Arabidopsis thaliana: one gene and its partner. The protein of the gene in region 2 interacts with the protein of the main gene of each other region in a pairwise test. Each region holds a gene or a part of one and is shown on either strand. Other genes may lie near its edges.

Evidence for each region. The genes of interacting proteins can lie anywhere in the genome.
Region 1: the proteins of ATB' DELTA (region 2) and AT5G67620 interact in a two-hybrid assay, tested with the Arabidopsis thaliana proteins (one large-scale study listed by BioGRID).

What each region holds. Positions count from the first base shown.
Region 1 is NC_003076.8:26,964,025-26,967,706, reverse strand, and holds AT5G67620 (DUF4228 domain protein), read left to right. Parts: upstream 1-1,696; 5' UTR 1,697-1,986; coding exon 1,987-2,239; intron 2,240-2,327; coding exon 2,328-2,509; intron 2,510-2,702; coding exon 2,703-2,816; 3' UTR 2,817-3,156; downstream 3,157-3,682. Other genes in the region: AT5G67630 (P-loop containing nucleoside triphosphate hydrolases superfamily protein), read left to right, coding at 1-172.
Region 2 is NC_003074.8:9,514,900-9,518,657, reverse strand, and holds the start of ATB' DELTA (serine/threonine protein phosphatase 2A 55 kDa regulatory subunit B prime delta), read right to left. Parts: upstream 1,706-3,758; 5' UTR 918-1,705; coding exon 1-917. Other genes in the region: AT3G26020 (Protein phosphatase 2A regulatory B subunit family protein), read right to left, coding at 2,073-2,378, 2,582-2,692, 2,904-2,936, 3,069-3,272, 3,360-3,758. UniProt on the Arabidopsis thaliana protein: The B regulatory subunit may modulate substrate selectivity and catalytic activity, and may also direct the localization of the catalytic enzyme to a particular subcellular compartment.

The sequences.
Region 1 (3,682 bases), on a different chromosome or scaffold from region 2:
GAAAGGGAAAGTCGTGGAGGTTGAGGATATTCAGAGAGTTTACAGACTGTTCTTGGATGTGAGGAGATCGATGCAGTATCTTGTTGAGTATCAGAGTCAGTATATGTTCAGTGAACCAATCAAAAACGATGAAGCTGCTGCAGAAGACGAACAAGATGCTATGCAGATCTGAGGATCCACCTCTGTTTGCCTTATTTATCATGTTTCGTGGTGATATGTATGATTAGGATGTTGAACTCGGATTTATGTTTTTTTTTTTTTAAGTTGTGACGAGATTCGGTTCTAGAAAATGATTTAACCAAGTTCAATACAGATCGGTTTGGTACAAATTTGATTTTGTTTGGATTTGGTCAACTTATTTCGGTTCGGTTAGACTAGACTGTAGGAGATGGTTTTACTAAATTAGTCTGGCCCGTTAAGACTTTATATGGGCTTTAAGCCCAATATTGACGAGTATAGTGAATCTCTCTCTTATCATTAAATACATGTAAGCGTGTGTTGTTCGCAAAATTTGACACGCATGCAAGTCTCTACCATCAGAGTAAATTAATTACGAGTGTTCTCTTACCAGACTTCATCGGTTTTTGGTGGCGTGTTTTGGTGTAACGAATTTATTTTGCTTGGTCGGGTCAATTTCAACTTATTTAGTGAAATATTATCTAAATTTATGAATAAACGTGTGTCCTTGAATTTCTTGAATAAAGATTTCAAAACAAACGGCTTTGTAGAACAAGAGTTAATGATAGAAGGCCAAACAAATTGTTCCAAACTCATGGATTGAATTAATCTAATTTACACATCGCTTGCAAGTAATTAGAAAAAACAAACATCACACGCTGGTGAATCCAACCAAAAATATGCATTATAAAAAGTCGAACAAATCTATTGACAGTAAAGAGTCGCAGTGTCTTTAGGTACTCTGCCATTGTGACATCTGATTCAACTCGTCATGGGTCCCATACTACATTTTATCATTCTCACTGTTACCGTAACTCTGAATCAACAGCTTCCTTTGGAACAGCCTTTATTTGTAATAGTACTTTTTATTCTTCGAAACAATCGGATTGTGATATGATGCGGATTGTGATATGATGAAAAAAACAAAAAAACAATCGGATTGTGATAAGAAATATGTGAATGAATATTCAAATAAATCAAATCCATAAAGATTTTGTTATCAACTACACTTTAGTTCAAATAACATGTAAAATTGGACATAGTTTTACGTGTTGCTCGGATATCATTTCAGAGATTCGTATCACACATTGAAGCCATAAAAACAGCAATCAATCCATACATAAAACAAATTACATAAAGTTAAAAAAAAAAAAAAAAAAAAAAAACTTTGATCATATTGAAAATATTTCTTAATTATTTATTATTTCCCCTTTAATTAGTTATCAAATCATCAATATATTACTTTCTAAATGAAAATTGTTGAATAGTATTAGTAAAAGATGGTTATTGATTAAATTTTACAGTCTAGTTTGGTTTTTAATTAGATACCATAACCTCTAGTCAACTTAATAATTCAAGAGAATGAAACATGTTGTTAATTAATTCATTGGTTGCGATATGCAAGATCCTTAATAACATTTATTAATTTCATATAAAATTCAAATGTCATTATCATTATACATCAGAAATAAAATAAATAGATCTACCACTCCCAACCTCTTTATTTATTCGTCTCATTGCTTAATCTCTTGTGTCGACATCTTAATTTACAAATTCTATCTTTCTGTTATTTTCTTCTTCTTCTTCCTCTTTTTATTTTCTAAATTTATTTGTTTGTGTTTAATCCTTTTTATCGATCTCAAGCGACCTCTTTGTCAAACCTGACAATCCCAAATGATGAAGAATTCTGACGTCGCTATTTATTAAAACCAAAACAATCTCTTCTTATATACTTTAGTTTCAGACAGGAACCCAACAAAAAAATCAAAACTCTTTTCTCTTTTCTTTTTTTTTGCAAAAAAAATAAAAATGGGGAATTGTCAAGCGGCCGAAGCAGCGACGGTTTTGATTCATCACCCGGCGGAGAACAAGGTGGAGAGGATTTACTGGTCAGTGACAGCGAGTGACATCATGAAATCCAATCCTGGTCATTACGTTGCGGTGGTGGTGACGTCACCTACGATGAAGAACGAGAAAGGTTTGCCACTGAAGCAGCTTAAACTCCTTCGTCCTGACGACACTTTACTCATCGGACATGTCTATCGTCTCGTCAGCTTCGAAGGTATATATATATACACTCTTAACTCCATTTCTCTGTTTCTGATAAATAAAATGATCTATAAAGCTGTTGACAATTTTATATCATGCAGAGGTTTTGAACGAGTTTGCGACGAAGAAATGTGTGAAGCTTGGCAAGTTATTGAAAGAAGGAGGAGGGCTTGACTTGACGAAGAAGAAGACGAAACACAGGAAGAAGAAGCTGGATCAGGAAACGGGCAAAGTCAACCCGAATTCGGATCCGAATCCGAACCAAGATGGCGCTGATAATGCGGTAAGTGCATGTTAATACTCTCATCGTCCAATTTTTTCTTTTTAACATTTAAAATGGATCCTTAATTTTAGTTCTAGTTGTGACATGATGAATAAGATATTTATAGATGACTGTCCTGGTCACATTACTCTGATCGCTTTATCCTTTTATCATTTATGTACGAATGCTTAATTTAATTCGACCGATCTTATAGGTCGCCGGAGAAAACGGGGGAGATGGGTTTATGAGGAGGAGCCACGGTGGAGGAAGAGGTGGTGGTGGGTGGAGGCCAGCTTTACACAGCATTCCGGAATTTGGATCCTCATGAGAGCTCTTGATCAAAAGCGTAGATATTCTTAAAGCAACTATCATCCGACAACATTGAAAGTTTTATGTAAAGCGATGTTACTGTTTTCTGTGGCTTTAATGAGATTTCAGTCTTCGACAAATGTTTTCAAGAACTCTAATCGTTTTTAACCTATTAGATACAAATATAAGGCACATCCACAATACGAATTTCTTCGAATTTTCGCATCCAAATGCAAAACGAAATAGTTGGTTGAAGTATAATTTTCAGGTATGCATAATTTATTTATCAACCGATAATTGAATTAGGCTCATCTTTAATGGAAATTTAAAGTGGAAAAAAGAAAGAAAAAGAATTAGGCCCATTCAAACTTCATGTTTTGTGACATGATTACTTCCAACTAATTGTATATTTGTTTCAATCCAACACTGTTTTTTCCTGCTTAAATGTTGTCTCATGTATGTACCGGACCTACTGATTGTATAACCGGATTTTTTTTGTTTGCAGATTCAAGATTCCACAAATCATTTCTTTCCTTAAACAATGTATGTAATAATGAAAAGTGTAAACCGACAGTTCGTATACGTTTGGATATCGTTGTTTGTGTTGGACCTAATTGGATTTTTACGTCATACCGTATTATCCAATCATAACGTTTCATGTGAGGATGTTAGAATTAAACAACCAGTCAAGAGTCAACTAACTTGAGCGAGTTTTAAGGCAATGGTAATAACTGGATAAACTATAGTTTTACATTTTAATTTGTAAGAAATGTAAATGTAGTATGCTTTTAAAATATGGTTGGCAGATCATTTGGTCGGCCTTTTTTGTCAATCATAGTTACGCAGTCAATAATTCAATTAATCACTAATGCATCATTCCATTTT
Region 2 (3,758 bases):
ACGCAGTAAGAAAGCTGTTGATGGTAATTTGGTAAGCATTTCAGCTTGTGCAGAGGAATCAAGACACGAGTAAGAAAGAGCTTGTGTTCTTCCTTGAGTGGTAAAGCGAATCCATTGATGATGGATCCTAAAACTTCAAGAAACTCGGCGATTCCCGAGTGTTTCCCTGTCTCGAATATAAAATCATACAAGATGTTGTTCATAGTTTTCCTGATGAACGGGCGATGAACCATAAACCTCCCGTAGATGCGGTGAAGTATCGTTTTCAGATACTCTCTTTCCCTCGGATCTTCAGAATCAAACAAATCCAATAGCTTGAGAACGAATGTATGATCGATGTATTTCTTGGATATCTTGGGGTCTGTGTTGGGAGATGCAACGATTCTCAAAAGGAACTCATAAACAATCTGCAAGTGAGGCCAAGAAGGATTCAAAGATCCTTCTTCTTCTTCCAAATCCAATGCCTCAGGAGTTTTGTTCTTCCATTGTCGATGAGGATTACTAAAGAGATTCGCCGAAATCATCTTGGTAGCTTCTTGAATAACTGATTCAGGGAACTTGCCATTCCCTGAAGAGATAACATAATCCACAACTTCAAGAAGTGTTTGCCTTTTGATCTCTTTCTCCTTGAAGTTCTGTTGAGGCTCAGCTACAAAATCAAACACTAGACAACATAGTCTAAGCTTCTTAAGAAACAGTTCTTGCTTCTCAGAGATGGAAACATCTCTCAACCTTGGCAATACATCAAAAGAAGAAACACAATCCAAACTAGTATCTCCATTTGATGACGTTCTCTGGCTTAAAACTTCATCACCTCCTCCTTGATTGTTGTTGTTATCTAGAGTTTGGGATTCACCATTATCCCAAAACTTAGCAGAAGTTTTCTTAGGAAGCTTCCCAAGTATCTGCTTAAACATCTTCTTCGATCTATTTAGTCAAACTTCCTCAAACTCAGATCAGATTCTTCAAAAACAGATCTCAGAAACTAAAAACCCGAATTGAAGAAAGATAGTGAAACACTCCTAAGATCATCTCACCACGCATAAGAACAACTCTTGTGAACATAATAGATCTCGAGAGATTATGAATCATCCAGACAAAAGCAAAAGACGAAAAGCAGACAAAACCATGACCCAGAAGGTAAAATAAAAAAAAGGTAGTAACTTTATATCATGAATGAAGCGCGTGAATCGTTTCTGGACCCAGATAGCAAGATCTAGATTGATGAATCATAGAAAGAAGCAAACTTGGGTCAAACCCAAGTAATCTAAACAATCGAAGAAGAAGAAGAAGAAGAAGAAGAAGGAAAGGGTTTAGCTTTTCATAGCTATTGCTTCGTTGGCATAGAGAAGAAGAGAGAGAATGGATAAAGATTAGAGAGTAAAGAGAGAGAGAGATAGAAAGAGAGGATGGTGACTGAGAGAAGACCCTAAGACCAGAGAAAATTTTCACTGACCAAGACAAGAAACAACATCTCTCGACAGTGTTTTTTTAGTTGAAGTCATAACCATTAAAAGATTCAAATCCAACCACTAAACCGATCTCTCCATGAAGATCTTTTCAGAGTTCCTCCTAGACTTATGGAGTTCGTAACCAAATCCACAAACCCAAAATACTCAAACCAACAATTTGGTCTTCTCTCTTTGAGTTTCTGTTGAAAACTTAAAAAAACTTTTTTTAAAAGGTGTTTTTTTGCTTATAAAGATACGATTTTTTTTCTGATACAACTGAAAATACAAAAGGCCAAATCCTATAAGTGCAATATTTGCAGGTATCATGAAAGCAGAAGATGAATGAATAAGACAAGTCTCAAGAAAGTGGAACAAGTGATGATCATACAATGTAGCAAAAATAACCCATTTTAACAAGCAGGAAGATTTAAGAGGAAACAAGAAATAAAAATAATGGAAATCAAAACAGGAACAATCTTACATCTTTGAGTTTCCTTTTTCCTTCAAACCAAGAGACCAATATGAAACTTTTCTCTTCTCAAGTATGTATCTGAAGAACAACATGTCAATAGAAGATACAGAAGCTCTCTTTCTCTCTCTTTCTTCTCTACAACTCTAACTTTATGAAGCCTTTCGCACTCCGAGTTCTTCCAAACGTTTCCAAGTGGCTTCACGTTTTGCTTCGGTTTCAGCTGCTTTTGATTCATCTTCCTTGAACTTTGCGAGGCATTCTTTAAATAACTCAGGGTCAAGGTCATGAAATATCTTTCGCACGTTTAGTGTCAAGCTATGAACAGCTTGGTTCCAATGTTTCTGTGCGTTTCTCTCCAACGCTGGGAATATAATTGGAAGAATGACTTTACGGTTTTGCATTATCAGATTCTCAATGTGATTGTTGTTCCATAAGAATAAAGCTCTCTCTGCAACCTGCGAAAACCAGACAGAGCATGAATAGACTGAAACAAAGATCCTGAACCTACTAGACTGATCTTTTCCCGTGAAAGATCGTATGCAGTCACTGTTTAGCCAAAACAGATACCCTTCAACGCAATACTTTTTCTTCTTTTGTAACTTTCTACTTAACAATAGCCTTACTATATCAATTTAGCTTAGAAATTGCCTTGAGTAACACCTAGAGCTGAATATAACAGTCCTAAACATTGATACTTTCCATACCGCAAAATCAACTCTTCCATTTGCTCGTTTGATATAACTGGTAGGCTATAACGACTTCTCATAAGCTGGTAAGGTAACACAGATATACTGGCGAAACACTAACACAATTAAAGTATGTAACCATAAGCCTTATTTAGCTAAGAAACTGCATCAGATATTATCCAGAACACAATACAACAGTCCTATACGTAGATACTTTCATTACCACAAACCCAACTCTTTCATTTGATCTTTTTATATAACAATCTAATAGGCTAACATAAACAGGTGAAACACTAATGCAGTTAAAGTATGTCGAAACGATATGGCCTGCAAATGTCAAACCCAACACTAACAGCAACAGAGCATTTTTCAGGAAATGTCAAAGCACGGGGAAATTCGCCAGTTTAAAAACAAATGTGAGGTGCTATTATTTCAGAAAGAATGGAGAATGACAGGTACCTGAAAATGCAGACTGTTCAAACATCGAGCTATTTGGCGAAACAGTGGTACCATGCACCGTTGAAATTCTGGTGGCTGAGTTGCTTCGAGTACTTCCTCCAACTCGTTCAGAAACATGACTTCTTTGGAACTGTTTGTCACGGGCCAATATTTCAACAATCCTCTTATAACCGTATCAGCAAGTTTGCAATCCTTTTCCACAAACTGTGTGATACAATAAGACAATTGTTGATGATACATTTGCAAGCATTTTGGTTTGTGGAGAGGTATCAAAACTCGAACAAGAAACACTTTGTGCTCGTCTTTCAAGGGAAGAGCGAATCCATTGATGATACTTCCCAAGATTTCTAGAAACTCAGCAATCCCATTATGTTTCTCTGTTTCGAAAACAAACCTATAGAAGATGTTGTTAATGGATTTCCTGATGAAAGGTCGGTGTACCATAAATTTACCATAGATCCGATGGAGAATGGTTTTCAGACAATCTCTTTCTCTAGGATCCTCGGAATCAAATAAATCCAGTAACCGCAAGACAAAAGATTGATCTATATATCTCTTAGCCAGCTTGGTGTCAGTTTCAGGCGAAGCAACAAACCTCAAGAAAAGCTCATACACAAGCTGCAAGTGAGGCCACGCAAGATCCATGGAAGGTTCTTCCTCCTCCAGGTCTAAGGCATCGATAACTTTATT